Anolis sagrei: one gene and its partner. The protein of the gene in region 1 purifies or fractionates together with the protein of each later gene. This does not show direct contact. Links are inferred from orthologs where the notes say so. Each region holds a gene or a part of one and is shown in the gene's direction. Other genes may lie near its edges.

Region 1 (16,437 bases):
AGCCAAAAGCAGGCCCACACTTATTTATTTATTATTATTTATTTAGAGTATTTGTATACCGCTTTTCTCACCCCAAGGGGGACTCAAAGCGGTTTACACATAAGTAATGGCAAAATTCAATGCCAGTGCAAACAATTACAATTATATACTACAATTAGACATAAATCAAATTAAAACAATACATCCATAAGCAATAAAACTATCATTAAAACAATAAAACAGTCTCGTCCGTCGAATCGCCGTTCCAGTCATTGTCTTTCCGAAATGCTGCATACATTTACTTCTACTGCCCAAAGGCCTGGTCCCAAAACTGTGATGTTAATTTTTTTCTAAAAAGCCAGGAGGGAGGGAGCGGATCTTACCTCATTTGGGAGTGTGTTCCATAGGCGGGGGGCCACAGCCGAGAAGGCCCTGTCTCTCATCCCCACCAGGCGCATCTGTGCTGTTGACGGGAGCGAGAGCAGGGCCTCCCTGGATGATCTTAGATTACGAGGTGGGACATAGGGGTGGATATGTTCGGACAAGTAAACTGAGCCAGAACCGTATAGAGCTTTATAGGTCAAAACCAGCACTTTGAATTGGGCTCGGAGATGGACCGGCAGCCAGGGGCGCTGGCATAGCAGGGGATTTAATAAGTTTATATTTTAACAAATATAAACGTATTAGTATTTCCCATTGAAATTCTAATAAGTTTATATTTGTCAAAATTGTTCTTCATTTTAATTATTGTATTGTTTTTAAGGGTTTTTTTTGCACTATTATTTATTATTATTATTTATTTGCTTTATTAGGCGACTCAATGCGGTTTACACAATGTAAATTATCACAACAATAACAGTTAAAACACATCATACACAATAACAAAATACACAATTATTATCAATACATGATGCCTCGATAACAAAGCAAAATCCATTCTCGTAATCCTTGAGCCATTCCTATGTTCAATTATACCGTCTTCCTATGTTCACTTGCACTGATCAGCCAAACGCTTGCTCAAAGAGCCAGGTCTTAACCTTCTTCCGAAACGCCAGCAGCGAAGGGGCCTGTCTGATGTCAATGGGTAGGGCATTCCATAGCCGAGGGGCCACCACCGAGAAGGCCCTGTCTCTCGTCCCCGCCAACCGTGCCTGTGACGCAGGCGGGACCGAGAGCAGGGCCTCCCCGGAAGATCTTAGTGTCCACTACAAATAAGATATGTACAGTGTGCATAGAAATTCATTTTTTTTCTTCAAATTATAATCCAGCCCTTCAACAGTTTGAGGGACTGTAGCCTGGCCCTCTGTTTAAAAAGTTTGAGGATCCCTGATGTATGTGGTGACTATAATAAGTAACACAAGTACAAGGGGTATTTTTTAAGTAAGTTTATTTATTTATTTATTTGATGCACTTATTAACCGCCATTCTCAGCCCTTACGGGCGACTCATGGCGGTGTACAGTACACATAAAAAGACAGTTACAAAGGCCAGTATCAACAACATATAACTATACGACAAATACAAACTACATAAAAATCCGCTTCGTCTCTTAGTAGAATCATAGCCAGTCTCATCTTCCTTATACCATTCCAGTTCTCATTACCGTAATGTTGTTGCTTAGCACTTAATTAAATGCCCTCTCGAACAGCCAGGTCTTAAGGCTTTTTCGAAAGGACATGAGGGAGGGCGCCTGTCTGATGTGTGCTGGGAGAGTGTTCCACAGCCGGGGGGCCACCACCGAGAAGGCCCTCTCCCTCGTCCCCGCCAGCCGTGCCTGTGATGCAGGCGGGATCGAGAGAAGGGCCTCCCCAGACGATCTCAAGGTCCTCGTGGGCTCGTAGGCCAAGATGCGGTCAGAAAGGTATTTTGGGCCGGAACCGTTTAGGGCTTTGTAGGCCAAGACCAGCACCTTGAATTGGGTCCGGTAGCAAATCGGCAGCCAGTGGAGCTGGGACAACAAGGGCGTTGTGTGCTCCCTGCTACCCGCTCCAGTTAGTAACATGGCTGCCGCACGCTGGACCAGCTGAAGCTTCCGGGCCGTCTTCAAGGGCAGCCCCACGTAGAGAGCGTTGCAGTAATCCAGGCGGGATGTGACAAGAGCGTGTACCACCGTGGCCAAGTCAGACTTCCCGAGATACGGGCGCAGCTGGCGCACGAGCCTAAGCTGTGCAAATGCTCCCCTGGTCACCGCTGAAACCTGGGGGTCCAGGCTCAACGATGAGTCCAGGGTCACACCCAAGCTGCGAACCTGCGCCTTCAAGGGGAGTGCGACCCCGTCCAGCACAGGCTGTAACCCTATATCCCGTTCGGCCTTGCGACTGACCAGGAGTACCTCTGTCTTGTCTGGATTTAGTTTCAGTTTGTTCGCCCTCATCCAGACCGTTACAGCGGCCAGGCACCGGTTCAGGACCTCGACAGCCTCCTTAGTAGCAGGTGGGAAGGAGTGACAGAGTTGGACATCATCTGCGTACAGATGACACCGCACCCCGAAACTCCGGATGATCTCACCCAGCGGCTTCATGTAGATGTTAAACAGCATGGGGGACAGTATGGAACCCTGTGGCACCCCACAAGTCAACGGTTGTGGTGCGGAACAGGAGTCCCCCAATAACACCTTCTGGGTGCGGCCCTCCAGAAATGACCGGAGCCACTGCAAAGCAATGCCCCCAAGACCCATTTCCGCAAGGCGCCCCAGAAGGATACCGTGGTCGATGGTATCGAAGGCCGCTGAGAGGTCCAGGAGCACCAACAGGGACACACTCCCCCTGTCTAGCTCCCGGCGCAGATCATCCACTAAGGCGACCAAGACCGTCTCGGTACCATGCCCCGGTCTGAAACCAGACTGTGCCGGATCCAGATAATCCGTGTCTCTCAAGAATACCTGGAGTTGTGAGGCCACCACGCTTTCCATGACTTTGCCCAAAAAGGGGAGATTGGAAACAGGCCGAAAGTTGTCCAATTTAGTGGGGTCCAGTGATGGCTTCTTCAACAGCGGCTTTATAATAGCCTGTTTTAGGCTCGCTGGAATCTTGCCTTCCCGAAGGGAGGCATTCACCACCACTGTTACCCACTCGGCCAATCCCCCTCTGGCCTCTCTCAGAAGCCAGGATGGGCAGGGGTCTAGGATGGACGTGGTGGGCCTCATTCCTCCAAGTATCTTGTCCACATCTTCGGGTTTCACAAACTGAAAAGAATCCAACAAAATAGGACAAGCAGGTGCTCTCGTTACATCCACAGAGTCTGCATCTAACGCGGCGTCCAGCCCAGAACGGATCAAGGCGACTTTGTCTGCGAAGAACCGAGCAAATGCTTCACAGCGCGCGGCCGAATTGTCAGGGCTCCCACCTGCAGAGGCGGGAGTTAAAAGACCTCTGACAATCCGAAACAGCTCCGCCGGACGGTTCTTTGCAGACGCAATAGTGGCCGCAAAGAAAGTTTTCTTTGCGGTCTTTATTGCCGCGGCATATGCCCTAAGAAAGGACACAAACCGTGCTCGGTTTGACTCGCTCGGTTCCGAACGCCACACGCTCTCTAGTTCCCTCTTCCTTCGCTTCATAGCTGCCAGCTCCTCAGTAAACCAAGGGGCTGGTTTAGCTCGGCTACTTGAGAGGGAAGTTCCGGAGCAATCATGTCAATAGCCCTGGTCATCTCCCCATTCCAGAGAGCCACCAAGGCTTCGACATGGTCACCTACCGAGGTGGCGGGAAAATCCCCAAGAGCCATCAGGAAGCCATTCGGATCCATCAGTCTCCTGGGGCGGACCATCTTAATGGATCCTCCACCTTTGCAGAGGTTAGGGGGCGCAGTGAGCCTAAATCTGATCAGGAAGTGGTCGGTCCATGGCAACGGAGAGATGGACAACTCCTCCACACCGCCACCCTGTTCCCATCCCTGGCAGAAAACCAAATCCAATGTGTGTCCAGCACAGTGGGTGGGGCCAGATATTTGTTGGGACAGCCCCATGGTTGCCATGGCAGACATGAAGTCCTGAGCCGCGCCTGTGAGGGTCGTCTCGGCATGGACGTTGAAGTCTCCCAGCACAAGAAGCCGTTGAGACTTCAATGCCAGGCTCGAGACCACCCCCGCTAGCTCAGGTAGGGAGACTGTAGTGCAGCGAGGTGGACGGTACACTACTAGAATCCCTATACTGTCCCGGTCACCCACCCTCAGGTAGACGCTTTCGAAATTTGCGGTCTGCGGGATGGGGCACCTGGTCAGATGGATGGAATCCCTATAGACCACTGCGACCCCGCCTCCCCGCCCTCCGGATCTAGGTTGGTGCTGCACGGAGAAACCCGGAGGACAAAGCTGGGTCAGATTTACTCCTCCAGCTTCATCCAACCAGGTCTCCGTGATGGTCCATTTTGTTGTAAATACTAGTAGTTCGTGTGCATACCTCAACGAGCATGTGCGTCGTGTACCGGCATGCCTCGGGAACAACTGTGCTCAGGTCGCCCTTCTTTGATTACAGATGATTTGGTGGCTTCAGTTGAAGCGAGGATTCGTGAGAACAGGCGCTTCACAATAACAGGTCGCTGAAAACGAATTTCCTTACGTGTCGAGATCAGTGCTTTACAACACTGTTTCTGAACACCAAAAGTTTAGGAAACTGTGCTCCTGTTGGGTCCCAAAACTCCTAACAGAGGACCACAAAAACCAAAGATTTGAGTGTGCGATCAAATCAAATAGTCTGAAATCAAAGAAGGGCAACCGGAGCGGTCCTCATCATGGACGTTGTCACGGCCATCATTGAATTGTCGTACCCACTTACGCACTTTGCTTTCACTCAGAACAGTATCACCGTACACTTCACAAATCTGTCGATGAATTTCTGCAGCAGGCAGGTTCCTTGCTGACAAAAACCGTATCACTGAGCGAACCTCACATGCGGAGGGTGAGTTGATAGTCTTAAATATTTTTCAAGCACAGAACAGAACCGTAGAGGTTAGCTACAGAGCAGAAACTGAGCACAGTTTTTCCCGAGGCATGCCGGTACACGACGCATGCACTCGTTGCGGTATGCGCCCGAACTACTAATGTCTACAATAAAACAGACCATACTTTAAAAATACCCCTCGTAGCAGCCCTGCCCTGAAAAGCTTATGGTTGAAAGAAATGGGAAGAATCAGGGACAGTCAGGGATGTTTTTCCATTTGACCATAGATTCCTAGAATCCTAGATCATAGAGTTGGAAGAGACCTCATGGGCCATCCAGTCCAACCCCCCTGCCAAGAAACAGGAATACTGTATTCAAAGCACCCCTGACAGATGGCCATCTAGGCTCTGTTTAAAAGCTTCCAAAGGAGGAGCCTCCACCACACTCTGGGGCAGAGAGTTCCACTGCTGAACGGCTCTCACAGTCAGGAAATTCTTCCTAATGTTGAGATGGAATCTCCTTTCTTGTAGTTTGAAGACATTGTTCCGCGTCCTAGTCTCCAGGGCAGCAGAAAACAAGCTTGCTCCCTCCTCCCTGTGACTTCCTCTCACATATTTATACATGGCTATCATATCTCCTCTCAGCCTTCTCTTCTTCAGGCTAGACATGCCCAGCTCTTTAAGCCGCTCCTCATAGGGCTTGTTCTCCAGACCCCTGATCATTTTAGTCGCCCTCCTCTGGACACTTTCCAACCTAATTAAGATAATTTTACCATCTAAATTCAAAAATCCCCAAATGCTGGAAATAATAATAATAATAAAAAACAACCATAAATTTGAAAGCTATCACAAGATTGGAAACTGCCACGAATGAGAAAATGACAGATTTTTCAATGGAGAACTAGTGGAAATGTGTATGGGATCTTTGGTTGATGGAAAAACCTCTGGGCACCATAAAAAAAAAACAGCAGTGGGTTAAAACATGGTTCTGTTTGCGGAAGCAGCTTCCCCTTATGGGCTATGTTAATACACACTTGCAAAAGCATTCACCTCCTTCACAGCATAAGCCAATGTTAGAATTTAGGTTGGTTTGGTTTAATAGTGCCAATAGAAATTTCAGGGAATAGCTGTGTTTCCCCAGGTCTTCAGGTTGGGAGGGAAATATAAAGATGAGCAATGGGTTAATGGAGAAGGAGGAGAGAGTGTGATTTCCATGTCTAAAGTGGCTTTAAAGCTTAGGAACCCATCTCCATCCATTCCCAGCATAAGCCCTGGGAAAACCTGTCATGTATGATGTATGCTGTAGGAGAAGCCATAAGAGGGAAGAGCAGCAAAAAGTGTAATTGCTGGGTACCTTCGGCTGCCTCCATGGCAAGTTTTTCTGTCCCCTGATTTGAGTTGCCACATTTTGGCCAGGTTTTAGCGGTATTCTGGTTCCTTTGTGCTTGTTTCCATAAACAGGTGGATCAAAAGTGTTTCCTGCTTTCCACCCAACAATTAGAATCATCTATATAAATAAAAATGTAATGTTCATTTGTGGGATTAACAGAACTCAAAAACCACTGGAGGAATTGACACCAATTTTGGACACAAGACACCTAACAACCCAATGTATGTCCTTCACTCAAAAAAATTGATTTCATCATTTGAGAGTTGTAGTTGCTGGGATTTAGAGTTCACCTACAATCAAAGAGCATTCTGAACTCCACCAACGATGGAATTGAACCAAACTTGGCACACAGTACTCCCATGACCAACAGACAACACTAGAAGGGTTTGGTGAGCATTGACCTTGAGTTTGGGAGTTGTAGTTCACCTTCATCCAGAGATCACTGTGGACTCAAACAATGATGGATCTGGACCAAACTTGGCACAAGTACTCAATACGCCCAAATATGAACACAGATGGAGTTTGGGGAAAACAAACCTTGACATTTGTGAGCTGTAGTCACTGGGATTTATAGTTCACCTACAATCAAAGAGCATTCTGAACCTCACCAACAACAGAATTGGGGCAAACGTCCCACACAGAACCCCCATGACCAACAGAAAATAAGGCCATCCATCTGCAGGAGTCTACCGTGTACCATGCAGCTGTGGACAAGTCTACATAGGGACCACCAAACGCAGCGCCCAGACACGAATCAAGGAACATGAATGGCACTGCAGACTACTTCAACCAGAGAAGTCAGCCATAGCAGAGCACCTGATGAACCAACCTGGACACAGCATATTATTTGAGAACACAGAAGTGCTGGACCACTTGCACAACCACCATGTCAGACTACACAGAGAAGCCATTGAAATCCACAAGCATGTGGACAATTTCAACAGAAAGGAAGAAACCATGAAAATGAACAAAATCTGGCTACCAGTATTAAAAAAACTCAAAAATTACAGCAGCAAAACAACAGAGGGGAAACAAACAGGCACATCAAACCACTCTCAACAAAAGATTCCCCCCAGGCGCTACCAAGCCATTGAATGCAAATCAAGGTGATCAGCTGAAACATTCACAGCTAGCCCCAGCAAACAAATGTCCTTTGTCCCACCCTGGTCATTCCACAGATATATAAACCAATTTTTCCTACTTCCAACAGACCTCACTACCTCTGAGGATGCTTGCCATTGATGCAGGCGAAACGTCAGGAGAAAAATTGCCTCCAGAACATGGCCATATAGCCCGGAAAAACCTACAACAACCGAAAGCCATCCAGTCCAACTCCCTTGTGTCTTGTGTCCAAATTTGGTGTCAATTCCCCCAGTGGTTTTTGAGTTCTGATGGTAGCACGAACTAACATTACATTTTTATTTATATAGAAGATAGATGGGTGTTTCTTTCTTGCTATAGATAGGGATACAGACAGGGTTGGGGTTGCCATCTCTGCTGTACCTTTGTATCTGTGTTTATATATTTCTATAGTTGGGGATATAGAGAGAGATGGGGTGGATCCCAGGATGCAGGCAGGTGTAGCTCTGCTGGGACATCCTTCTGTACCCATCCTTGGTCAGCTGAGATTGCTATTTATTTATTTATTTATTTATTTATCGTGTCAGTGCAACCAGTCGATTATATTACATTTCTAACAGAACAAAGCAAAAAGAACAGACAAAATACAGAATTGTGAGTTTGGTAGTTGATTAAATGTCCTTTGACCAGTATCTGGCCACTTGGAGTGCTTCTGGTGTTGCTGCAAGAAGGTCCTCCATTGTGCATGTGGCAGGGCTCAGGGTGCATTGCAGCAGGTGGTCAGTGGTTTGTTCTTCTCCACACTCACATGCCGAGGATTCCACTTTGTTCCTGAAGGTTGGCTCTGCATCTCGTGGTGCCAGAGCGCAGTCTGTTCAGCGCCTTCCAAGTCGCCCAGTCTTCTGTGTGGCCAGTGGGGAGTCTCTCCTTTGGTATCAGCCATTGCTTGAGGTTCTGGGTTTGAGCCTGCCACTTTTGGACTCTTGCTTGCTGAGGCGTTCCAGCGAGTGTCTCTGTAGATCTTAGAAAACTATGTCTGGATTTAAGTCGTTGACGTGCTGGCTGATACCCAAACAGGTGATGAGCTGGAGATGTCATTGCCTTGGTCCTTTCACTATTGGCTGCCACTTCCCGGCGGATGTCAGGTGGTGCAATACCGGCTAAGCAGTGTAATTTCTCCAGTGGTGTAGGGCGCAGACACCCCGTGATAATGCGGCATGTCTCATTAAGAGCCACATCCACTGTTTTAGTGTGGTGAGATGTGTTCCACACTGGGCATACATACTCAGCAGCAGAATAGCACAGCGCAAGGGCAGATGTCTTCACTGTGTCTGGTTGTGTTCCCCAGGTTGTGCCAGTCAGCTTTCGTATGATATTGTTTCTAGCACCCACTTTTTGCTTGATGTTTGGGCAGTGCTTCTTCTAGGTGAGAGCACGGTCCAGAGTGACTCCCAGGTACTTGGGTGTGTTGCAATGCTCCAGTGGGATTCCTTCCCAGGTAATCCTCAGAGCTCGGGGTGCTTGTCTGTTCTTGAGATGAAAGGCACATGTCTGTGTTTTAGATGGTTTGGGGATTGCTGAGATTGCTGAAGCCTTGAGAAGAGGCGGGTAAGTAATGATGATGATGCCCACCCGGAGTCCCTGTTAGTGAGCAACCCAGAGGGTGCTCACCAATGCTTCCTCTTCATCTTGGAAAGAAGTGACGAGTGGAGTGCCGCAGGGTTCCGTCCTGGGCCCGGTCCTGTTCAACATCTTTATTAATGACTTAGATGACGGACTAGAAGGCATGATCATCAAGTTTGCAGACGACACCAAATTGGGAGGGATAGCTAATACTCCAGAGGACAGCAGCAGGATTCAAAATGATCTTAACAGATTAGAGAGATGAGCCAAAACTAACAAAATGAAGTTCAATGGGGACAAATGCAAGATACTCCACTTTGGCAGGAAAAACGAAATGCAAAGATACAGAATGGGGGACAATGCCTGGCTCGAGAGCAGTACGTGTGAAAAAATCTTGGAGTCCTCGTGGACAACAAGTTAAACATGAGCCAACAATGTGATGTGGTGGCAAAAAAAGCCAATGGGATTTTGGCGTGCATCAATAGGAGTCTAGTGACTAGATCCAGGGAAGTCATGCTACCGCTCTATTCTGCTCTGGTTAGACCACACCTGGAATATTGTGTCCAATTCTGGGCATCACAATTCAAGAGAGATATTGACAAGCTGGAATGTGTCCAGAGGAGGGCGACTAAAATGATCAAGGGTCTGGAGAACAAGCCCTATGAGGAGCGGCTTAAGGAGCTGGGCATGTTTAGCCTGAAGAAGAGAAGGCTGAGAGGAGATATGATAGCCATGTATAAATATGTGAGAGGAAGTCACAGGGAGGAGGGAGCAAGCTTGTTTTCTGCTTCCTTGGAGACTAGGACGTGGAACAATGGCTTCAAACTACAAGAGAGGAGATTCCATCTGAACATGAGGAAGAACTTCCTGACTGTGAGAGCCGTTCAGCAGTGGAACTCTCTGCCCCGGAGTGTGGTGGAGGCTCCTTCTTTGGAAGCTTTTAAGCAGAGGCTGGATGGCCATCTGTCAGGGGTGATTTGAATGCAATATTCCTGCTTCTTGGCAGAATGGGGTTGGATTGGATGGCCCATGAGGTCTCTTCCAACTCTTTGATTCTATGATTCTATGAATATAACCCTCCCCTCTGTTTTTCCCTTCCTGGCAATGAAGGCGTTAAAGAGGGGGGGGGGGGTGTTAGGGAGCCAGTGACGTCATTGGCGTCCTCGCCCCCTCCCTCCCTCTCTCCCTCCCTCTTTCTGCAGGCGCACCGAGAAACACACACAAAAAGAAGCAAGGCGCGCCGGAGAGCTTCCCAGAAAGCGCTCCGACAAAGACCCCCCCCCCCAAACCTATCGACACCCGCCTTTTCAGGGAAAGGAGCCATGACAGAGACCACCAAGACCCACGTCATCCTGCTGGCCTGCGGCAGCTTCAACCCAGTCACCAAGGGCCACATCCAGATGTTTGGTGAGTCCACCGCCCATAAGGATGGAAGGAGAGGAAAGGATGGGAAAGAAAGGATCGGAAAGGCCAAGGGATAGAAGAGAGGAGTGATTGATGGGGGCGTGGGGGGGGGGGGAGAGGAGAGGCCTGGATCGCTGCAGCAGGGAGGAAGGGTTTGGCGCGGAGCCATCGCGGGACAAGGAAAAGGGCAGAGAGAACCTCAAGAGGGAGGGGTGCTTGTGATGTTTCAGGCGGGGAGGGCTACCTTGGAGGAGGAAGAGGGATGAAAATGGCAGCAGAAGGAAGCTGCAGCAGAAGGGATGCCAGCCTGTGTAGTGGAGGGCATCTGGAAGAGGGTGGCAGCCTTCCCCTTGGGGAGAGGTTGGCCCATTGGCTACTGGAATCAGGAATGGCTTGCTTGGGCAATGGAGAGGCCCACCTTCATTATTACTGTACTAGCCATCCCCTGCCATGCGTTGCTGTGGTTATGGGGGTTCTGTGTGGGAGGTTTGGCCCAATTCTATCATTGGTGGAGTTCAGAATGCTCTGTGATTGTAAGTGAACTATAAATACCAGCAACTACAACTCCCAAATGTCAAGATTCTATTTTCCCCAAACTCCACCAGTGTTCTCATTTGGGCATATTGAGTATTCGTGTAGAGTTTGGTCCAGATCCATCAGTGTTTGAGTCCACAATGCTCAATTCTATCATTGGTGGGGTTCAGAATGCTCTTTGACTGTAGGTGAACTACAAATCCCAGCAACTACAACTCCCAAATGCCAAGATTCTATTTTCCCCAAACTGCACCAGTGTTCACATTTGGGCACATTGAGTATTCGTGTAGAGTTTGGTCCAGATCCATCAGTGTTTGAGTCCACAGTGCTCAATTCTATCATTGGTGGGGTTCAGAATGCTCTGTGATTGTACGTGAACTATAAATCCCAGCAACTACAACTCCCAAATGCCAAGATTCTATTTTCCCCAAACTCCACCAGTGTTCTCATTTGGGCATATTGAGTATTCGTGTAGAGTTTGGTCCAGATCCATCAGTATTTGAGTCCACAGTGCTCAATTCTATCATTGGTGGGGTTCAGAATGCTCTTTGACTGTAGGTGAACTACAAATCCCAGCAACTACAACTCCCAAATGCCAAGATTCTATTTTCCCCAAACTCCACCAGTGTTCACATTTGGACATATTGAGTATTTGTGTAGAGTTTGGTCCAGATCCATCAGTGTTTGAGTCCACAGTGGTCTCTGGATGTAGGGGAACTACAACTCCAAAACCAAAGGACACTGCCCATCAAACACCTCCAGTATTTTCTGTTGGTCAAGGGAGAACTGTGTGCAAGTTTGGTTCAATTCTATCCTTGGTGGGCTTCAGAATGCTCTTTGACTGTAGGTGAACTACAAATCCCAGCAACTACAACTCCCAAATGCCAAGATTCTATTTTCCCCAAACTCCACCAGTGTTCACATTTGGACATATTGAGTATTTGTGTAGAGTTTGGTCCAGATCCATCAGTATTTGAGTCCACAGTGCTCAATTCTATCATTGGTGGGGTTCAGAATGCTCTTTGACTGTAGGTGAACTACAAATCCCAGCAACTACAACTCCCAAATGCCAAGATTCTATTTTCCCCAAACTCCACCAGTGTTCACATTTGGACATATTGAGTATTTGTGTAGAGTTTGGTCCAGATCCATCAGTGTTTGAGTCCACAGTGATCTTTGGATGTAGGAAAACGACAACTCCAAAACCAAAGGACAGTGCCCACCAAACCCTTTCAGTATTTTCTGTTGGTCATGGGAGAACTGTGTGCAAGTTTGGTTCAATTCTATCATTGATGGGGTTCAAAATGCTTTTTAATTGTAGGTGAACTATAATTCCCAGCAACTACAACTCCCAAATGGAAAAAGCAATTTTTTTGAGTGAAGGGCATACATTTGGTTGTTAGGTGTCTTGTGTCCAAGTGGTTTTTGAGTTCTGTTAATATCACAAACGAACATTACATTTTTATTTATATAGATTGTCAAAGGCTTTCCTGGTCATTCCACAGACATATAAACCATTTTTCCTAGTTCCAACAGACCTCACTACCTCTGAGGATGCTTGCCATAGATGCAGGTGAAACGTCAGGAGGGAATGCCTTAAGACCATGGCCATATAGCCCAAAAAACCTACAACAAAGAATTATTTATTTATTTATTTATTTATCATGTCAGGAGCAACCAGACAGTTGTATTACATTTTTAACAAAACAAACAAACAAACAAACAAACAAACAAACAGACAAAACACAAAGTTTGCAAGCTTGGTAGTTGATTAAATGTCCTTTGACCAGTAGCTGACCACTTGGAGTGTCTCTGGTGTTACTATAAGAAAATGCGTGCAGCAGGGCTCAGGTTGCATTGCAGCAGGTGGTCAGTGGTTTGCTCTTCTCCACACTCGCATGTCGTGGATTCCACTTTGTAGCCCCATTTCTTAAGGTTGGTTCTGCATCTCGTGGTGCCAGAGCGCAGTCTGTTCAGCGCCTTCCAAGTCGCCCAGTCCTCTGTGTGCCCAGGAGGGAGTCTCTCATTTGGTATCAGCCATTGATTGAGGTTCTGGGTTTGAGCCTGCCACTTTTGGACTCTCGCTTGCTGAGGTGTTCCAGCGAGTGTCTCTGTAGATCTTAGAAAACTATTTCTTGATTTAAGTTGTCAACGTGTTGGCGGATACCCAAACAAGGGATGAGCTGGAGATGTCACTGCCTTGGTCCTTTCACTATTGGCTGCTACTTCCCAGTGGATGTCAGGTGGTGCTAGACAGTATAATTTTTTAGAGGAGGTGGTTGTACTGATTAGGATGTGTCTTACAATCATTGGCATCTTACAATTGAAAATATATATGGTAGTAACATCGTGATTCTACTAATAACTACCTGTGCACATGTATCTTTGGCGTCTGTAGGAAATGATCGTCCTGATGGCTGTTTGCATGCTTTCACTTGGCAGGAAGTGTTAGCGTGTTTGCTGTCCACAGCTGTAGGTGCTGAAATGGCTTTGTGGTTGACAATAGGAAATGAGTAGTCTCCTTCACTTCACAGCCTGTTTGTTGCTACAATTCATTTGCCTTTGTAACTTTTCTACTGTGCAGTTGTGGCAGATGCTTAAGTTAAGCATCTCATTCATTGAGAAATCCATGAGACAAAAATAGGAAAGACAAATTTTAAAAAAAGGAAATAAGAGGAAGGGGACCCAATTGCGTGACTACAAAAACAACAGAGACAGCAAAGATTCCTAGGGGAGAATGTCTTGCTGCTCTCCTTTATTTTCACTTTCTAAATACAGCCCAGCTGCTTGGAAAAACAATCCTGTTGGTAGGATTCCTTTGGTATCTTTGAACACAGCCAGAGACGAAATTCTGCACCCGTTTGCTAGATGGAGAAAGGCACAGAATGATAAATAATGCACAAGTTTTGCATGTTAAAAATTGATTTATGTTTGCTCCTGAGGGCCAGTCCGCATCTTTCCTTACAATAAAAGGCCTGGACATGTGTCTTCAGTCCTGGAAACAGCCTCTATTTCTCAAGGACTGTCTGCCAACAATAGCTTCAAACTACAAGAAAGGAGATTCCATCTGAACATTAGGAAGAACTTACTGACTGTGAGAGCTGTTCAGCAGTGGAACTCTCTGCCCTGGAGTGTGGTGGAGGCTCCTTCTTTGGAAGCTTTTAAACAGAGGCTGGATGGCCATCTGTTGGGAGTGCTTTGAATGCAATTTTCCTGCTTCTTGGCAGGGGGTTGGATTGGAACTTGTTTTCTTCTGCTCTGGAGACTAGGACACGGAACAATGGCTTCAAACTACAAGAAACTACAAGAAAGGAAATTCCATCTGAACATTAGGAAGAACTTCCTGACTGTGAGAGCTGTTCAGCAGTGGAACTCTCTGCCCTGGAGTGTGGTAGAGGCTCCTTCTTTGGAAGCTCTTAAACAGAGGCTGGATGGTCCTCTGTTGGGGGTGCTTTGAATGCAATTTTCCTGCTTCTTGGCAGGGGGTTGGAGGGATGGCCCATGAGGTCTCTTCCAACCCTATGATTCTATGATTCTATGATGCTACAGGACTGACTCAGATCTGGGGTTTTCTCTACTGCCTAGATCCCCAAAGTAAGTCCCGCAGGCTGGATGCGGACCTCCAATATTATTTACTAAACCCATGTCTTAAACATTAGGGTTGCACTAAGTCTGGAAAAACCTGAAGGCACACAACAACAACAATCCCAATTAACAACAAAAATTCCACAATCCCAACAAAAATTCCACAAACGCCAAAAGCAACAGCCGAAACCAGAACTGGATACATCACGGACCATCATCAACCTGACAGACAGACAACTCTCTGAAGACCAAGTATCCATACTAGCGAAAGGAGGAAACTTTGCTTTAACCGCCACCAGGATCCCAGTAGAAAACATCATTGTCAATGTTGAATCAGCAATTTATCGCCTCCCCGAGGAGGAAGCAGAAGAAGTACGAGCAGAAACAGCAAGGATCCTGAAAAAGGCAAAACTTCCCTCCAGTAACATCACTAGGAAGGAAAGACAAGCCATCAGAGAACTGAATTCAGATCCTGATACCCTCATTATGCCAGCAGACAAGGGGAATGCCACAGTAATCATGCATACAGAACAATACAAGGAGAAGATCAGAAAACTCCTGGACCCTACTATATACAAAAAACTGAAGCAAGACCCAACTGCCAAAATAACCAGGAAAACCAACACTCTGATTAAGAACTCCTCAATAAACTTTGACATATGACAACAGCTATGTAAATTGGAAGCCCATCCACCCAGGACTCCCAAAAATCCATAAGGACTCCACACCACTCAGACCCATCGTGAGTGCCATTGGATCCCCCACATAAGACCTAGCAAAATTTCTTGCTGCACAGTTACAAAGCCATATTGAGCTCACTACACACTACATCAAGGACTCAGCCCACTTCATAGAAAAAATCAGCAATCTCAAGCTAAATACCAACGACAAACTGATCAGCTTCGATGTGGTATCTCTATTTACCATGGTCCCGGTAGCAGACACCATGGCACTCATCAACCAGAGGTTCCCAGAAGACATCACAGCTCTGTTTCACCATTGCCTCACCACCAGTTACTTTCAGTGGGACAATGAATTCTACGAACAGAAAGATGGAGTAGCTATGGGGAGCCCTCTCAGCCCGGTCATAGCTAACTTCTACATGGAACACTTTGAAGAACAAGCCCTGGAGACAGCAACCAAAAAGCCCACGATATGGTTCAGATATATGGATGACACCTTCACCATTTGGAGCCATGGAGAAGAAGAACTCAACAGGTTCCTGGACCATCTTAACAGCATCCACCCAAAAATCCAGTTCACCATGGAAAAAGAAAATGAAGGAAGATGTCCTAGTCATCCGCAAACCAGGTCAACAATTGGGTCACACCGTCTACAGAAAACCCCCACACACAGATAGATATCTAGATAAAAACTCCAACCATCACCCAAGTCAAAAAAGAAGCACCATTAAAGCCTTGGCAGACCGTGCAAAAAGAATCTGCGAACCCCACCTCCTCCAAGATGAACTGAACCACCTCAACTGGGCTCTCCAGGCCAATGGAGACTCCACCTCAGACATCAAGACCAAGAACAAACCACGAGAGTAAAGATGAAGATCCACCCAGAGTAAAAGTGTTCCTGCCATACATCAAGGGAACCACTGACCGCATAGGGAAGCTGATGAGGAAACACAACATACAAACAATCTACAAACCCACCAAGAAAATCCAACAAATGCTACGTTCAGCAAAGGACAAGAGGGATCCTCTCACCTCTGCAGGAGTCTACCGTATACCATGCAGCTGTGGACAAGTCTACATAGGGACCACCAAACGCAGCATTGCCCAAACACAAATCAAGGAACATGAAAGGCACTGCAGACTACTTCAACCAGAGAAGTCAGCCATAGCAGAGCACCTGATGAGCCAGCCTGGACACAGCATATTATATGAGAACACAGAAATGCTGGACCACACCAACAACCACCATGTCAGACTACACAGAGAAGCCATTGAAATCCACAA
Region 2 (16,372 bases), on another chromosome or scaffold:
AGCTCTTGGCCCTAAAAAGATATGTAAAAGCACACATGAGAGGAACTGTGATGGTCTATTGGAGTCCTGTTATTATTATTATTATTATTATTATTATTATTATTATTATTATTTCCTGTTTTCCTCCCCAAAGGAGACTGATAATTGCAAAAACATGGAATGATAAAAGCAAAATTCAATTGGAAGAATGGTATACAGAGGTTTGGAACATAATGATTAAAGACAAATCCTGGCTCTCACCAAGTTTCTCACCTGTCTTCCAGCAGAGATGTCCACATTTCATCCTGGTCAATCTGATGGTCCAAGTCGGTACACCAAAGTCCAAACTTCTCTGATAACTTTTGAATACTAGAATCTAGTACACTGAATTGAGCCTCTACAGTTTGGAGTTTGCTCTCCACTCTGTTAAAATTTTAAAACCAGGAGTAGTTATAATATATGCTTCAATGCAGCTCAGCAACATCTGGAAGCCACAATCCCCATCTTACACAATGCAACAGTTGTGACTAGTTTACAATACTAGTGTGGCCCAACTGGATTTGATACGAAGAGAACCAGGTTGAGGCTCATCCTTAATCACAGGCTAGCCTATAATTTCTGCCTCAACATTTGTCCTCCACTGATAATAAAAATACAGTCACCTAACACTGCAAAATTTGACTGCTTAACTTGTAAACGTATTTACCCAGAAATCTGTTGGTGGACATATGAAAACATATGAGGATCACTTACATAGGATAATCTCTCCCCACCCATGCCCGAAAAATTATACCTAAGGAAAAGGAATAAATAAATAAAATATTGTAATCTTGGAAATATCAACTCTATACAATTAATGCAATATGTTCATTTAATTATCCATATATAGAAAGAAAACATTGCCCAAGAACTACTTATATTAATAATTGACAAAAATTAAAAATTAGTTTATATGTCATATGCTGCTTTACAGTTAATGTAAGCTGGACAGAATATTAATATTCTTAAATAAATATCTAACATCTAAGATAAAGTCAACTCTTTCCCACAGTCCTTCCCCAACAAAGCAGGTCCTTCTGCATTTCCCCCTTTTGACCTGTTTAATGTCTTGTTCAGAGCACACAGAGATATAGTTTCTTTAGTCATCTTCAGGGAGAGGAAAAGGTGAATCTGAATGCCGGTTGGCTGGTTGATCTTTTTCCAGCAGGCAGTGGCCATACACACAGAAGGTACAACATGAATTGAAGGTCAATTTTCACTTCAAGCTTTTTATAGACAGGACATCCAAGTATAGCATATTAACACGTGCCTACAAGCACATTATTTACTAGAATGTAATTGGTCAGCTGCGACAGGTTTCTGTTGCAACATCTGAAATAAATATGATTTTCTTTCATGCAAAAGTACACGATGGTTTGAATTATATTAAAGTTCCAACTAATTAAATGGGATTTGCATAAATGTTAAACTCATGCTTCAACAGGTCTATTCTATTTGGGACTACAGTGGAGTCTCGCTTATCCAATGTAAACGGACTGGCAGAACGTTGGATAAGCGAAAATGTTGGATCATAAGGAGAGATTAAGGAAAAGCCTATTAAACTTCAATTTATGTTATGATTTTACAAACTAAGCACCAAAACATCATGTTTTACAACAAACCAAGAGAAAAAGCAGTTCAATACACAGTAACGTTATGTAGTAATTACTGTATTTATGAATTTAGCACCAAAACATCACAATATATTGAAACAGCTGTGGATCTGAGCGGGAAGCAGACTGTGTTGCATAATATAGAACATTGTATGAGTGAAGAATGGATAAGCGAGACTCTATTGTATTACTGTATTAGGTTTCAATCAGACAAATATCTGTCAGGATCAAACTGTATTGAACTTGGTTGAGACTTACTTCTAAAATGTATTTAACATTGTGCTGTAACCTTTAGCTAGTGTTTGATTAAGGTACCAGTACATTAGATTAATATTAAGGTGCTTGTGGCAGGTTCAATAGATTAGTGGTTCTCAAACTATCTGATGTAGGGCCCAGCAATTATGGTATTTTTTCCCAGTGTTCCAGAGACTGGCACTACTTTTTTGTCCCGTTCTGTCCCCCCCCCCCCCCCCCCCCAGTAAAGTTAAATTAAACATTTACAGTACAACACATTCTGAGCCACGTTCTAAAATGTTTCGATAGATTAATTGATGAGAGCTAGAACACTGGAATATGATACAAAGTGTCATATTTGCTAATAGTGCTTGTTCATTATTTGCAAGTTTGTACAAGTCATAGTTTCTTGTTGCTCAATTGCTGCCACTGCATATTTTTGAAAAAATTGTTTAAACTGCTTGTTTTGGATGGAATCCTAGATTTCCAAACAGGAGCCCACCAATGCTGCAGTGTTAAATACACTTCTGAGCTCACTTTACTGCCAGACTCCATTGTGAACCTTAAAGGGTTAACAAAATCCCAATTGAGAGTATTGCCTCCTGTACAGCACAGGACTTCATTTTAAGTTTGCAATATACCAGTTGTTATTTGCTCTGAAATACTGACTACCATTAGCTACTGCCCTCCAAACCCCACCTGGAAATGTATTTTAAACTGTAGTTAGCAGTTAGAGTGAGCATAAATCCTTCAAAAGTTGACTTTGCTATTTTGGGTATCATGAGTAGCATATTTATTTATTTTTCAAGTTCCAATATATACCTTCTCTTTGCTATTCTGTCAAAACAATAAATCCCGAAACTTTTTGTATTATACAAAATAGACTTTAGTGTCAAGTGTTTTTAGGTATGTTTGCAAACTTCCTTGGATCTCAAATAAAGTCTCATCAATTGGTTACTTTAATTTCCTAAATTTCCTTTAATTTATATACAAAGAAGGGCATATGTGGATCAAGAGTTTTTTCCATAGTTGATTCCTTCTAACTGAGGTCGGGGTTGGCCCCTCCCTGCTCTCTTTTCAGTGGCAGGTGAAAACATTATTATTCAGGCAGGCATTTGAACAGTAAATTTTAATTGTAGTTTGTATATGGAATTGGTGCGCTGTTTCAATGCTTTAATCCAGTGGTTCCCAACCTGTGGTCCGTGGACCACCAGTGGTCCATAAGAATAAAAATATGGTCTGTGGTACTATTACTACACCGTTGCCTCAAAACCACACGGCAACGAGAGCAACTGGTCTTGAAAAGCCCTCTTATAGTGCCAAGGCAATGGGAATGTCGGGAAAGGAGATGCTGACTACCCACAAAATATCACTACTACATCAGCTCTAGATTATTAAATATGGTTTTCTGTGGACGAGCAGATGGCGACTACTGGATGGCATATGCTCTGTATCAGAAACTAGAGCTGATGTGGTCTATCCAATGCCATTTTCTGAATCAGCACCCCAAATAACCAAACCAAATCTAAAGTTGACCAAAAACGGATTCGTAACCCTGTTGGTACTAATGTTGGAGACTGGTCCCTGGTCAAAAAAAGGTTGGGAAACACTGCTTTAATCCTTTGTACTTATTAGTATTATGCCTTAAAATATTTTTAAAATGTTTTAATTGTAAGGATCATGTTAAGAATATTAATTATTTAATTTATTCATAATTTTTGTAATTTGATGTTTTAATGTTATTCCTTTTAAATTGTTGTTAGCTGTATTGGATCTTACTTTGCTAGAAAGGCAGACTATACATTCAATAAGCAAAATGGATAAATAGAATAACAAAACAGTTGCTTGCTTGAAAGATCAGTATTCTTATGGACAAAATCTTGAAAGTGCAGCACTCTGAGCATAAAACATTCATTTATTTTCAAAATGTGGAGTAAAATTATAGTTTAAGCTTCAACTACTGTATTTACTCCAATTTAATGCTCACCTTTTTGGCAAATTGACCTTGGCAACATTGGGGGTGCTCATTAGTAATTTTAGTGCTGAGCAAAAGCAAAAGGGGAAGCTTCAGGAGCTGTATCTGGAGCTCCCCTTTGAGGAACACCATCTCTAATTAAATGGCCAGGGCTCAATGCTATGTAATCCTGGGATTTATAGTTTGGTAAAGCACCAGCATTATTGGGCAGTGAAGGCTCAAAACGTCAAACTACAGTCCCAAGGATTCTATGGCATTGAACCAAGGCAGTTAAAGTGGATTCATTTTACAGCATAGATGCACTCCAAGGTTTTCTTTTCCATTGCTGGAAGCTTTGGTGTTCCAGCACAATTGTTTACAATGAAGGAATTCTCAACAGGCAGAAACCATAATGCGTATCTTTTTTGGCCAAATTACAAAGAGTACACTTTAGGCTACTGTGCATTACATTGAGCAGTAAATACATTTTTTAGTTTCAGGGTTTTGACAGTTTTGACGGTGCATAAAACTCAAGCAAATATGGGTATCTAATAAGTAAATAGTTGTTTCAACAGCACCAAGTGAAATTTAATGCAAATCTCCTTAGAGAAGTCATCAATTCTAACCAAACAAATAGTGTTTGAAGAAGCCAAGTCTATGAATAGATAAAATTATTTAGGAACTTAGAATAGTTTTATTTCCAGTACACATTGAGGAAACAATCTACACGTGGATGCAATCTGTATAAGTTTTGTTCAAGCTCTGGACATTAGAAAGGCAGATAGTATCTAAGTAAAATAGAATTATTTCTGTGGAAGTCAGCCACTTTAGGCATAGGTATATGAAAAGTTTTCAGGCTTACAACGGGTGCAAAGATGTGCAGGCTTTGTCTTCTTTTTTATCAAGGCAAAGATATTTACATATATTTATAACCAAAAGTTTGTACTGCCAGTTCGTCAGTACAATCATACCAGGTTTAACCCAAGGAATCCCATTACCGATAGAATGAATTGGGTTTATCAACTATTTTAAATTATTTATTTGAGGTAATAAAGATGGTGCTTCCAAAAAAAGTCCTAAACAGGTAATCCCTGTATACCAAGGAGTCAGTTATCTAGTTAGATATGTTTAAGACTCAGTAATAGGATAGACAGATATACTGCTAGACTGATCGGCAACCAATACTCTCCTAGAACCTTTAATCTCTGTGAATGAAATCCAGTTCACTTTCTCTCCATGCTCAATGGTTAGTTTGGGTGAAAAGCCCACAGAGCCACTTGTAAGCTCTGTGTCTGATTTATCAACTGTCTTGGTATTTGACATCTTAGTCTTCCTTCTGGGGATGGACTTGACTGGACTCTTCAGCTTTCTTACTTCATTGCTGATGTCCCACAATAAAACTTTGCCGTCATTTCCTCCTGTAATGAACTGGTAGGATTCTGGTAAAAAGTAAACCTGTGACACTCCTAAGGAGTGGCCCTTAAATGCCATCTCCTGTTCAAACTTAGAACCAACTACCCGGAAGATTCTGATTTTTCCATCTTCAGCTCCACAACCAAAAATATTGCCACAAATAGACACTGATAGAGAATGGACCAGGGGTGGGTTAAAGAGCTGGCCAGCCGACTGCTCATCTGCTGCCTCTTCTTGCAAGTTCACAACCCACAGTGGGCGAGCTTTCTGCAAGTTCCACATCATGACCTTCAAACAAAATAAATCCAGAATTATTTTATAGTGTAAAGAATAAACTATAAACTTGAGTGTAAGCCGACCCGAATATAAGCTGAGGCACCTAATTTTACCACAAAAAAACGTGGGGAAATGTATTGACTTGAGTATAAGCTGAGAGTGGGAAATAGTAAATTTCAAAATAAAAATAGATACCAATAAAATTATATTAATTGAGGCATCAGAACATTAAATGTTTTGAATATTAACATAAAACTGTAATTTAAGATAAGACTATCCAACTCTGATTAAACCATTATTCTAACCTTTTAAAATGTAAATGTGTTTATGTATTCTTGCAATAATAAAGAGAGTAAAATAATAAATGTAATAATAATGATAGGCTATAATAACAAATGTAATAATAATAGAGTAGAGTAAAATAATGTAAATATAGTAATAATAGAGAATATTTTTCTCTATTATTATTATTACATTTACATTATTTTACTCTACTCTATTCTATTATATAATAATAATAACAACAGTAAAATAATAAATAACTTTGACAAATTTAAGCTGAGGGGGGCTTTTACAGTCTAAAAAAGAGCTGAAAATTTCAGCTTATACTTGAGTATATACGGAATACATTAGAGAAATGTCACCTTTGTGAAACTGTATGTACAAATTTTAAGGTTTCCCTTGTGATGTCCTGTTTCCTGAATAACCATCTAAGATACATCTCAAAAGGGTTACTTCTCTCTACACTATAAACCAAGAGGAGAAAAGTACGGGTTATCTAGTAACCAGTTTTCTGAGAATTATTCATTTTTCCATGACTTGCTTGTTTTAGCTTGATTGACACTCACGTTGCCAATTTACAGATAATGCTTTCTTTCTTGAGAATGGAATGTTTGGAAGGTCTGTTATATCTACTGGCATATGCGACTCTCTCAAACATATTAACATAATACATTGGAAAATAAAAATATATTGAATACCTTTCTGTTCACATTTAGCCAGTATACAACATACATTAAACTTTCATATATTGCTAATCACCTTCATATCCATGCCACATGAAAGAAGGCTTTGAGGCCTCTGAGGTCGAAACACTGCAGATGAACAAATATTTGAATGTCTTCTCAGGCATCGACTTAACTTCTTGCTTTCCAAGTCAATTATCTTTATTGCTCCAGAATCATCTGCAGCAGCTAAGAAACTGTCTGTTTCATTTACTGAGAGACAATTGATCTCTTCCTCATTTACATGGAAATGTTCTACTGGTTCCTTGAGACATCTGGTATCCAAGACGCTAACAGTCTCCCCATGAGATGCATACAGTCTCTTTGGAAAGGTGGGAGAAAACACTACGCTGGTGATGTCATCTGTTTTATGGAGCTGTGCATGTTCTAATGGTCTCCCTTCCTCATTCCAGATTGTAAGTTCCCCTCCTTCTGCTCCGGATGCCAAGAGGCCATCTTTGCTCACATTCAAACATAGTATTGAAGAAGAGTGTCCACTGCTCCACTTCTCTGCCATAGTATTTTAAGATACTGAAAACAAAACAGACATTGGTTAGCAACATAATGGTTATGCCTATCTGTTGGAGTAAGGCAGTATGAAAGAGTGGATAAATTATATTCATCCCAAGATACTAGCTACTCCAAGAGATAACACCTAGTGATTACAAACACAAAAACTTAAACACTAACTATACTGCCATAATGAACATCACATGGGCCAACAAATTAAATGGTGGCACATATAAGAACAGGAAAGGCATGTTGTTTACATCTTCCCTAAGTATTTAAAGCCAATTTAATTTTATAAGAAAATGTTACTCCACTATGAGTCAAAACAGATATTGTGGGATTTTCTGCCTTGATATTCTAGAATATAGGAATGTGTAGAAGGTCACCAGAAAGAGAACTTACTACTGAGATAATTTGAAGAAAAATCTAAAGTTCTACTGAGTTCTGCAAGTGCTGCTTCTACATTCTTAGAGATGAAGCATTAATGGTGCTTTGAGAAGGCCAAAATAAAAGACTATTAATCACCAACAAGAAATAAATGGGTTACGGCTGAAAAGAGCAACTGATACGAATTGATGGCATAGAAGTTTTGAAATCCTTGATGACACTTGGGTCCCTTCTACACTGCCATATAATCCAGACTATCAAAGCAAATACTTCACATTACCTGCTTTGAACTGGATTATATGAGTCTCCACTGCCATACAATTCAGGGCCCTTCCACACAGCCCAGAATATCAAGACAGAAAATCCCACAATATCTGCTTTGAACTGGGTTATCTGAGTCCACACAGCCCTATATTCCAGAATATCAAGGCAGGAAATCCCACATTATCTGAGTGTGGACTCAGATAACCCAGTTCAAAGCAGATATTGAGGGATTTTCTCCCTTCATATTCTGGGATATAGGGCTGTGGAAGGGCCCTGGGTTATCCGAGTCCACATTGCCATATTTTCCAGTTCAAAGCAGATAATGTGGGATTTTATACAGCTGTGTGGAAGGGGCGAGAGCTCAAATAATGGAGGGAGGCCAGACGCGCTTAAAGAGACAAGCATTTACCTCCAGTCAAACAACACCTTTCTAAAAAAAAACCAACACAGCAAACCTTTCTCTTCCTCTGACAGAAGGCACACTAACCTTCTCTTCCGGCGAGGAGAAATGACGTCACCCTATTATGACTCTCTTCCCAACACTGACAGGTGCGAGTCCTGCGCATACAATAAGAGCCGGCGATAACATTTACCCTTACTTAATATGGCTGCCTCAGCTTCAAGGCCTAGATCATTCGAATATTGATAACGGAAGTAAGTCTCAGCTGAGTCGCTTTGGCGGGAGAAAGAGGGAATTACAATTACTCCCGCTGCTGCTCTCAATCTGTGCCTCTCAAGTAGAGGGTCCATCTCCTGAAGCCGCTTTAAAGGGCGAAACTTCACACTTCCGCCCTTCGTTGTTGGCTTCGAGGGGGAAGAGGTGCAGCAACGGGCCTCTTCCTCCCAGCTGAGGGCAGGAGCGGATTGGTCCGTTGTTTGGCGGCTCTGCTCGGGGCGGCCGCCGGCTGTAGGGATGGCGGCGGCGGCGGCGGCTGGAGGAGGAGGAGGAGGAGGGAGCGGCGGCAGCGGGCCGAGTTCGGCGCCGGTGACCGCGGCTTCTGCGCCTGCTGCTCCTTCTTCCGCCGCTGGCTCCGCGGCCCCGGCTGCTGCTGCTGCTGGTGGTGGTGGTCCTGCGGGGCCCGGCTGGCGTCTGCCCGGGCGCGTGCTGGAGCTGGTCTTCTCGTACCTGGAGCTGCGCGAGCTGCGGAGCTGCGCCCTGGTCTGCAAGCTCTGGCACCGCGTCCTCCACGGAGACGAGAACAGCGAGGTCTGGCGGAGCTTGGCCGCCCGGAGCCTGGCCGAGGAGGCGCTCCGCACAGACGTCCTCTGCAATGTGCCCAGCTACAAGGGCAAGGTCAGGCCCAGGGAGGAAGGGAGGGAGGAAGGGAAAGAAAGAAGGGGAAGAGGGAGATGGGAGAGGGAGGGAAAGGAAAGGGAAGGAGGGAGGGAAGGAAGAATAGAAAGAAGGAAAGGAAGGAAGGGAAAGAGGGAGATGGGAGAAGGAGGGAAAGGAAAGGAAAGAAGGTAAGGAACTAATGAGGGGGGAAGGAAGGAAGGAGGGAAGGAAGGGAGAATAGAAATAAGGAAGAAGAAAAGGAAGGGAGGGAAGGAGGATGGGGGAGGGAAAGGAAGGAAGGAAAGAAGAAGAAGGGAAGAAACTGATGAGAGGGAAAGGAAGGAAGGAGGGAAGGAAGGAAGAATAGAAAGAAGGAAGAAGAAAAGGAAGGGAGGGAAGGAGGATGGGAGAAGGAGGGAAAGGAAAGAAAGAAGAAGAGAAGGAACTAATGAGGGAGGGAGGGAGGAAGAATAGAAAGAAGAAAAGGAAGGAAGGGAAAGAAGATGGGAGAGGGAGGGAAAGGAAGGAAAGAAGAAGGGAAGGAACTAATGAGGGTGAAGGGAAGGGAAGGAAGGAGGAAAGGAAAGAAAAGGGGGAGGAGAGAAGGAAGGTAGAAAGGAAGAATGGAAAGAAGGAAGAAGGGAAAGAAGGAAGGGAGGGAAAGAGGGAGATGGGAGAGAGAGGGAAAGAAAGGAAGGAAGGGAGGGAAGGAACTAAGACAGGGAAAAGAAGGGAAGAAAGGAAGGGAGGAGAGAAGGAAGGGAAAGGGAAGGCAGGACAGAGGGAAGGAAGAATGGAAAGAAGGAAGGACGGAAGGGAGGGAATGAGGGAGATGGGAGAGAGAGAGAAAGGAAAGGAAGGAAGGAAAGAAGAAGGGAAGGAACTAAGGCAGGGGGAAGGAAGGAGGAAAGTAAAGAAAGAGGGAAGGATGTAAGGAAGGAAGAATGGTAGGAGGAAAGGAACTAAGGAGGGGGGAAATAAGGGAAGGAAGGAGGTGAGAAGGGAAAGGAAGAAGGGAAGGAAGGACAAAAGGAAGGGAAAGAAGGAAAGAAAGAAGAAGGATATAGGAGGGGAAGAAGGAGGGAAGGGAAGGAACTAAGAAGAGCGAAAGGAGGGAAAGGAAGGAAGGAAAGAAAGAAGGAGAGGATCTAAGGAGGGAGAAAGGAAGGAAGGATAAAAGGAAGGAGAGATGGAAAGATGGATGGAAGGAGGAGAGAATGGAAAGAAAGAAGGAAGAAGGGAAGGAAGGAAGGATAAAAGGAAGGGAGATGGGAAGGCGGGAGGGAGGGAAGAAGGGAATGAAGGAAGGAAAGTAGAGGGGAGAAGGGGGAGGGAGGGAAAGGAAAGGAAGGGTTAAGAAGGAGGGAAGGGAAGAAGGAAGGAACCCCAGTTGCATCAACACTTGGGATTGAATGAATGGGCACCGCTTGAACTGTCATGGCTCAGTGGTATTTGGGAGTTGTAGTTTTACAAGGTCTATAGCATCCTCTGTCAAAAAGTGCTGGTGCCTCACCAAACTACAAATCCCAAGGGTGCCATTTCACCGGAGAACAAATGCAGTTTGACACCATTTGAACTGCTGTGACTCAGTACTAGTCAGGAGTTGTTGCTTCATGAGTTCTTTAGCCTTCTCTGCCAAAGAGAGCTGGTGCCTCTCCAGACTACAACTCTTATTGCTCCATAGCATTGAGCCATGGTGGGTCAAGAGCTGCAAGATTCCACTAATTTTACAATGTAGAATGAAATCCTGGGAGTTGTAGTTTGGTGAGGTGCCAGCTCTTCTTTGACAGAGGAGACTAGAGCCCTTGTAAAACTACAACACGGGATTCTATGGGATTGAGTTGTGGCAGTTCAAGTGGGGTGAAACTGGCATAATGATATATACAGCACAGATGCATCTAAAGTCTTTTTTTTAGAAGAACTGTTCAGTTAATTGTGTCCTATTGATTTTAATTGATTTATTCTAAGCAGTTATTGTTTGTAGCTTGGCGTGTTCACATAGCTAAGACAGGTTAAATAGATGCATCCTTAGGCAGAAAAAAATTGAAATGTACAGATCCAGCAAAAGATAAGATCAGCTTCGAGGAAGGAAGGGATGAGCTTGCTCCCTCTCTAGTGGTGTGATCTAGTGATTGACTAGAAATAATTCTAAATACCTCATAAAAGTAGTGGAGCCACTAGAAAGTTGAAATGGAAAGAAGTGTGTCTAACTCGGCTATAACCCAAATTGCTCTTAGGATAGAGCTCCAATTCAGAACGAATGCAGTTTGAAATCACTTTAACTGCCAGGACTCAATGTTTTGGAATCCCAGGAGTTGTAGTTTGGTGAGGCACCAGCACTCTTTGGCAGAGAAGACTTAAGATCTTGTAAAACTACAGATCCCATGGTGCCATGGCAGTTACAGTGGTGGACTATTGGTTTGCTTTCAGGCAGTCCCAAAACATAGAAATAATATTTGGGGTTTGTTCTGTGACTTCTCAATGAAGTGCAGCTTATCTTTCGCCCTTGCTGACCTGCCTACTTGTCGGTAGTGTGGAAACACCCCTTAAACACAGGTTCTGTAGATGTGGCACCTCCGCCCAGCTGTTGGCTGTGGGCCAAGAGCCTTTATGTGTATGATTTGGGAGGCTAAGTTTAAGCAGGTACAGGCTGAGGATCCCTTCTCCAAAATGTATGGAATCAGTTGCATTTGGATTTAAAAATTGTCTTTTTTTGAAGGGTTTTTGGAGTACCAGTATTTGCATATGCAGGCAATCCCCAAGTTACAAACAAGATAGATTGTGTAGGATTGTTCTTAAGTTGAATTTGTTTGTAAGTCAGAGCAGGTACATTTTTAGTGTAACTCCAGCCATATCTATCTATCTGTTTATCCTTTAGCTTTGGATAGCATAGGGAGGTGTTTGTTTTGCTCTCTGTGCTGCTGTTCAGAAGATGCCACCATACTTTCTGTCCCTGCAATAATTGGATTTTGAAAAAAATTAGCTTGTTGTGGAAACAAGGATTGGTGATACAGCTTCAGTGGAGACACCTTTCCCCCGTGATAACCCTTTCCAGACTGAATTTCCCTTCCAAGGGGTTGATTTCTTTTACTTCCTGTGTCTCACCCCTGTTTGTAACTATGAGTTGTTTGTAAGTTAGATGTTTGAAACTCGTGGACTGCCTGTATATACATAATGGTATATCTCGGAGCTGAAGTCCAAATCTAAACACAAAATTCATTTCTACTTCATATACTACAACATCATATCACCAGTGTTAATTTTATACACAATATTTTTCAACAATTTTGTGCATGAAACAATGTTTGTATACACTGAACCATCAGAAAGCAAAGGTGTGACTATCACAGCCACCCATTTGGACAATTTTGGGGTATTTTTTATTTCTGAACAGCTGCAAAATGGAGTGGAAGGAAGACAGGGCTCCTTCATCAGCTCTAAGGTTCCTTCCACACAGCCATGTAACCCAGAATATCAAGGCAGATAATCCACAATATCTGCTTTGAACTGGGTTATCTGAGTCCACACTGCCATGTTACCCAGTTTAAAGCAGATGATATGGGATTTTATACAGCTGTGTGGAAGGGACCTAAGAGGCCAGCTTCCTTTGACTCCTCACCATGTTGTTTCCATTTTACCTGGAAGAATTTTACATTATGAATCAGTGCCTCCCTATTTTTCCCTTTTCTCACTTTGTATGCAGGCTTTTAGATTATAAGACTGGGTACGAAGACTGTTGTCCTTTTAAAAAACACGATTGCCTCTTTGGGCTGAAGAGTACAGTATAGTCCTTTGGAATAAATGAAATATACAATAACAATTGTTTGCAAAATCATTTTTGAAACGGCATTTACCTGAAAATATCTCCTTCCCAAAAAGCTTGAGAAAGACCTCTTTTTAAAATTAAAATTGGCTTCTTCTGGACAGGTTCTTCTTTTCTTTCTTTTTTGTGTCAGGAGTGACTTGAGAAACTGCAAGTTGCTTCTGGTGTGAGAGAATTGGCTGTCTGCAAGGATGTTGCCCAGGGGACGCCCAGATGTTTTGATGTTTTACCATTCTTGTGGGAGGCTTCTCTCATGTCCCGGCATGGGAAGCTGGAGCTGATAGAGGGAGCTCATCCGCACTCTCCCGGATTTGAACCTGCGACCTATCGGTCTTCAGTCCTGCCAGCACAGGGGTTTAACCCACTGCGCCACCGGAGGCTCCATTATTTTCTTTCTGAAAGGGCTTGATATTTGGCAGAACTCTGTCTCAGAGGTACTGATACAGTTCTGCCAATGGTGAAGTCTGTGGTTGTGCATATCTGTTACTTTCCTCTGGTATTCTTTCACATGTTGGCTTGTCATAAAGTAAAACACATTTCTGAATTTCCCTCATTCAGATTTTTTTATACGTAGACCTGGTGTTGATGGGTTTTCAGTTATTGTTTTCTCTTAATTAACTTGCCATCTTACATGTACTTCAAATTATGTGATACTTAAAATACGCTTTTGGGCAGGCTGTTTATAACCCTCGGTTTGTTTAGCTAGTATGTAATTTGATACCAAATGAGCTGTCGCTTTTAGGGAGAAATATAATATTTTTCCTAATGTCTTCTTTGTGGTTGTGGTGGTAAATTATTAATCCCCTATCTTCATGTTCTGTATCAATTTGAAGTCTTCGAAATGCAAACTTTTATTTTCTCCCCCTTTATCTTCATTGTGCTTTGAATCTTTTGCCTTTAGGTCTTAGTTCAAATTGTAGTGCTAAGATTGAGAGAGAGAGAGAGAGGAGAGGAGAAAGATGTCATCCAATAGACTGGAAAGTAAACAGAGCTAGTGTTTATTCCTTTAATAGTAGTATTATTTATGGGGACCCCCAGTGGCACAATGGGTTAAACCGCTGAGCTGCTGAACTTGCTGATTGAAAGGTTGCCGGTTCGGAGCAGGGTGAGCTCCCACTGTTAGCCCCAGCTTCTGCCAACCTAGCAGTTCAAAAACACGCATATGTGATATTGCTTTGGGGGGAAGGTAATGGCGCTCCATGCATTCAAGCCGGCCACATGACCTTAGAGGTATCTACAGACAACGCCAGCTCTTCGGCTTAGAAATGGAGATGAGCACCAGCTCCCAGAGTTTGACATGACTGGACTTAATGTCAGGGGAAAACCTTTACCTTTACCTATTACTATTTATTCCATTAAATATCAATGTAAATGAGGAAATAATGATACTATCTATGAAGAGAATAAATGTAAACATCAGTATCATTTCCAGGCTTTGCATAGTTAGACAATCTTATCTCAAATTCTTTACCTTTTTTTCAATATCCCTCTTCCCCAATATTAGGTACGTGCCTTTCAGCATGCTTTCAGCACCAATGATTGTTCTAGGAATGTCTACATTAAGAAGAATGGGTTTACTTTGCATCGGAATCCCATTGCCCAAAGTACAGATGGAGCCAGAACAAAGATCGGCTTCAGCGAAGGCCGCCATGCCTGGGAAGTCTGGTGGGAAGGTCCTCTCGGCACCGTAGCAGTAATTGGAATTGCAACAAAGCGGGCTCCCATGCAGTGCCAAGGTTATGTGGCCCTCCTGGGCAGCGACGACCAGAGCTGGGGCTGGAATTTGGTGGACAATAACTTGTTGCATAACGGTGAAGTAAACGGCAGCTTTCCCCAATGCAACAATGCCCCAAAATATCAGGTGAGTGAGTTTTGCTATTTCCAAATGTTTACTGGAGTTGTGAACACTTCTGTCTTTGATCATTCCTGCCTAGCTGGTTATGATGACTTCAATCCAATTGTTCGTCTAATTGAAGTTGGCTCACTGAACCAACAAAATTTACATACAGTATTTACTTAACAGTTCAGTTATTGTTTCATTGGGTCTAGTCTATCCAAGACTACAAATTGGATGCAGACCAGTATGTTTTATTTAGGATTTAGCAATATGCAAGTTTACTTATGTTTTGTTTATTTTATGCTTATGTATTATTTATTTTATGTGCATCACCCTGGAGTGCTTATGTGAGCCTCCCAAATCCCTTCAGGGAGATTGTGGTGGGGTATAAATTAAAGTTGTTTATTATTACTATTACTATTATTATTATTTGAGAACATCCCTCAGAGATCGGTGGGGCATACTCCTAGGTAATGTGTGTAAGATTGAAATCCAACTGATGTTAAAGTTAGTGCCATTATTTTCCCAGGTTGGCACTGCACTTCCTTGAATATTTCTATTCACCCTGCCCTTGTTCCCCCACCTAATCCCTTTCTAGATTGGGTTCCTGAGCTTCAGGCTGACCCCTTAGAATTGGCCTGTGGGTTTGTTATGGTAGGCCTGACCTGACTTTATATCAGACTTGATAGAGATAGCAAGAAACAGTTTTAAAAGCAGAATAGCAAATTGAAGTTTCTTCAAACACAGGATGACAACACATTAAACAGAATATTTTATTTTTTGAAGCCTCCTCCAAAACCAGTGTGAGTTCTCTCTTACCACAGACTGTTCTGTGTCTATTAAATCCAAATTTGATTCTTTTAAAGCCCAAACATCTCTGCATCAACTCCAGACCTTGTATGTTTCAGAAAAGGCCTCTGTTTTTGTTACATCCACAGCTCACCTTCACAGCGTCCCAGATCTGTCCAGCAATTTCTTCACAAAGCCCTTGTATAAATAGTATAAATAGTGCTGGAATAGTTTTGAAAAGCAAAATACCTTTCAAATTCAAACAACAACAACACTTTATTTATAACCTGCTCTCTCTTCCCAAAGGGACTTAGGGTGGTTTACAGGAATAATAAAATGGCAAACATTCAATGCCAAAACTAAATAGACAATCAAAACAAAACATAGAGTGAATAAACTCAATATAACTTATAACAATCAAAGAAGAATTAACTCATGAAAAATCATACCAATTAATATACAATACCTTAAAAGCACAATGTAATATAATATAACATATAGTGTAACGTATCAGCGAGCAGAGGTAAGTATCTGTTGTTAGGGCTTATGAAATGTGTTAGCTGTAATACTGGCCATCATTGTCTCATTCCTTTCCCCTCAACCTTTTCCATTTTTGCTTTATAGATAGGTGAGAGAATTCGTGTCATCCTGGATATGGAAGACAAAACATTGGCGTTTGAGCGGGGCTACGAGTTCCTGGGAGTTGCATTCCGAGGACTGCCAAAGACATGCCTGTATCCAGCAGTATCTGCAGTGTATGGCAACACTGAAGTGACATTAGTTTATCTGGGAAAACCTTTAGATGGATGATATTCTTGTTTTTTTTTCTAAAAACAACCGGGACATGAAAATCAAGTTGACGATACAGGGACGCTTGTTCAATGGTTAATAAGGAAACATGAATGAAATGCATGGATGTATGTCCAAGAAACATCCAGGAGAACCAAAACCTGTGTTCTAGAAGGCCAGCTGCA

The links.
Region 2: the proteins of NMNAT2 (region 1) and FBXO45 purify together in Homo sapiens (co-immunoprecipitation; 3 studies listed by BioGRID and IntAct, with this or other methods). This does not show direct contact. The link is inferred for Anolis sagrei from reciprocal best matches to the Homo sapiens genes NMNAT2 and FBXO45.

What each region holds. Positions count from the first base shown.
Region 1 is NC_090024.1:122,632,273-122,648,709, forward strand, and holds the start of NMNAT2 (nicotinamide/nicotinic acid mononucleotide adenylyltransferase 2), read left to right. Parts: upstream 1-10,117; 5' UTR 10,118-10,269; coding exon 10,270-10,354; intron 10,355-16,437.
Region 2 is NC_090023.1:226,406,641-226,423,012, reverse strand, and holds the start of FBXO45 (F-box/SPRY domain-containing protein 1), read left to right. Parts: upstream 1-8,501; 5' UTR 8,502-8,586; coding exon 8,587-8,967; intron 8,968-14,276; coding exon 14,277-14,633; intron 14,634-16,022; coding exon 16,023-16,208; 3' UTR 16,209-16,372. Other genes in the region: SMCO1 (single-pass membrane and coiled-coil domain-containing protein 1), read right to left, coding at 253-402, 1,076-1,197; WDR53 (WD repeat-containing protein 53), read right to left, coding at 4,948-5,520, 6,550-7,029. UniProt on the Homo sapiens protein: Component of E3 ubiquitin ligase complex consisting of FBXO45, MYCBP2 and SKP1. Functions in substrate recognition but also plays an important role in assembly of the complex.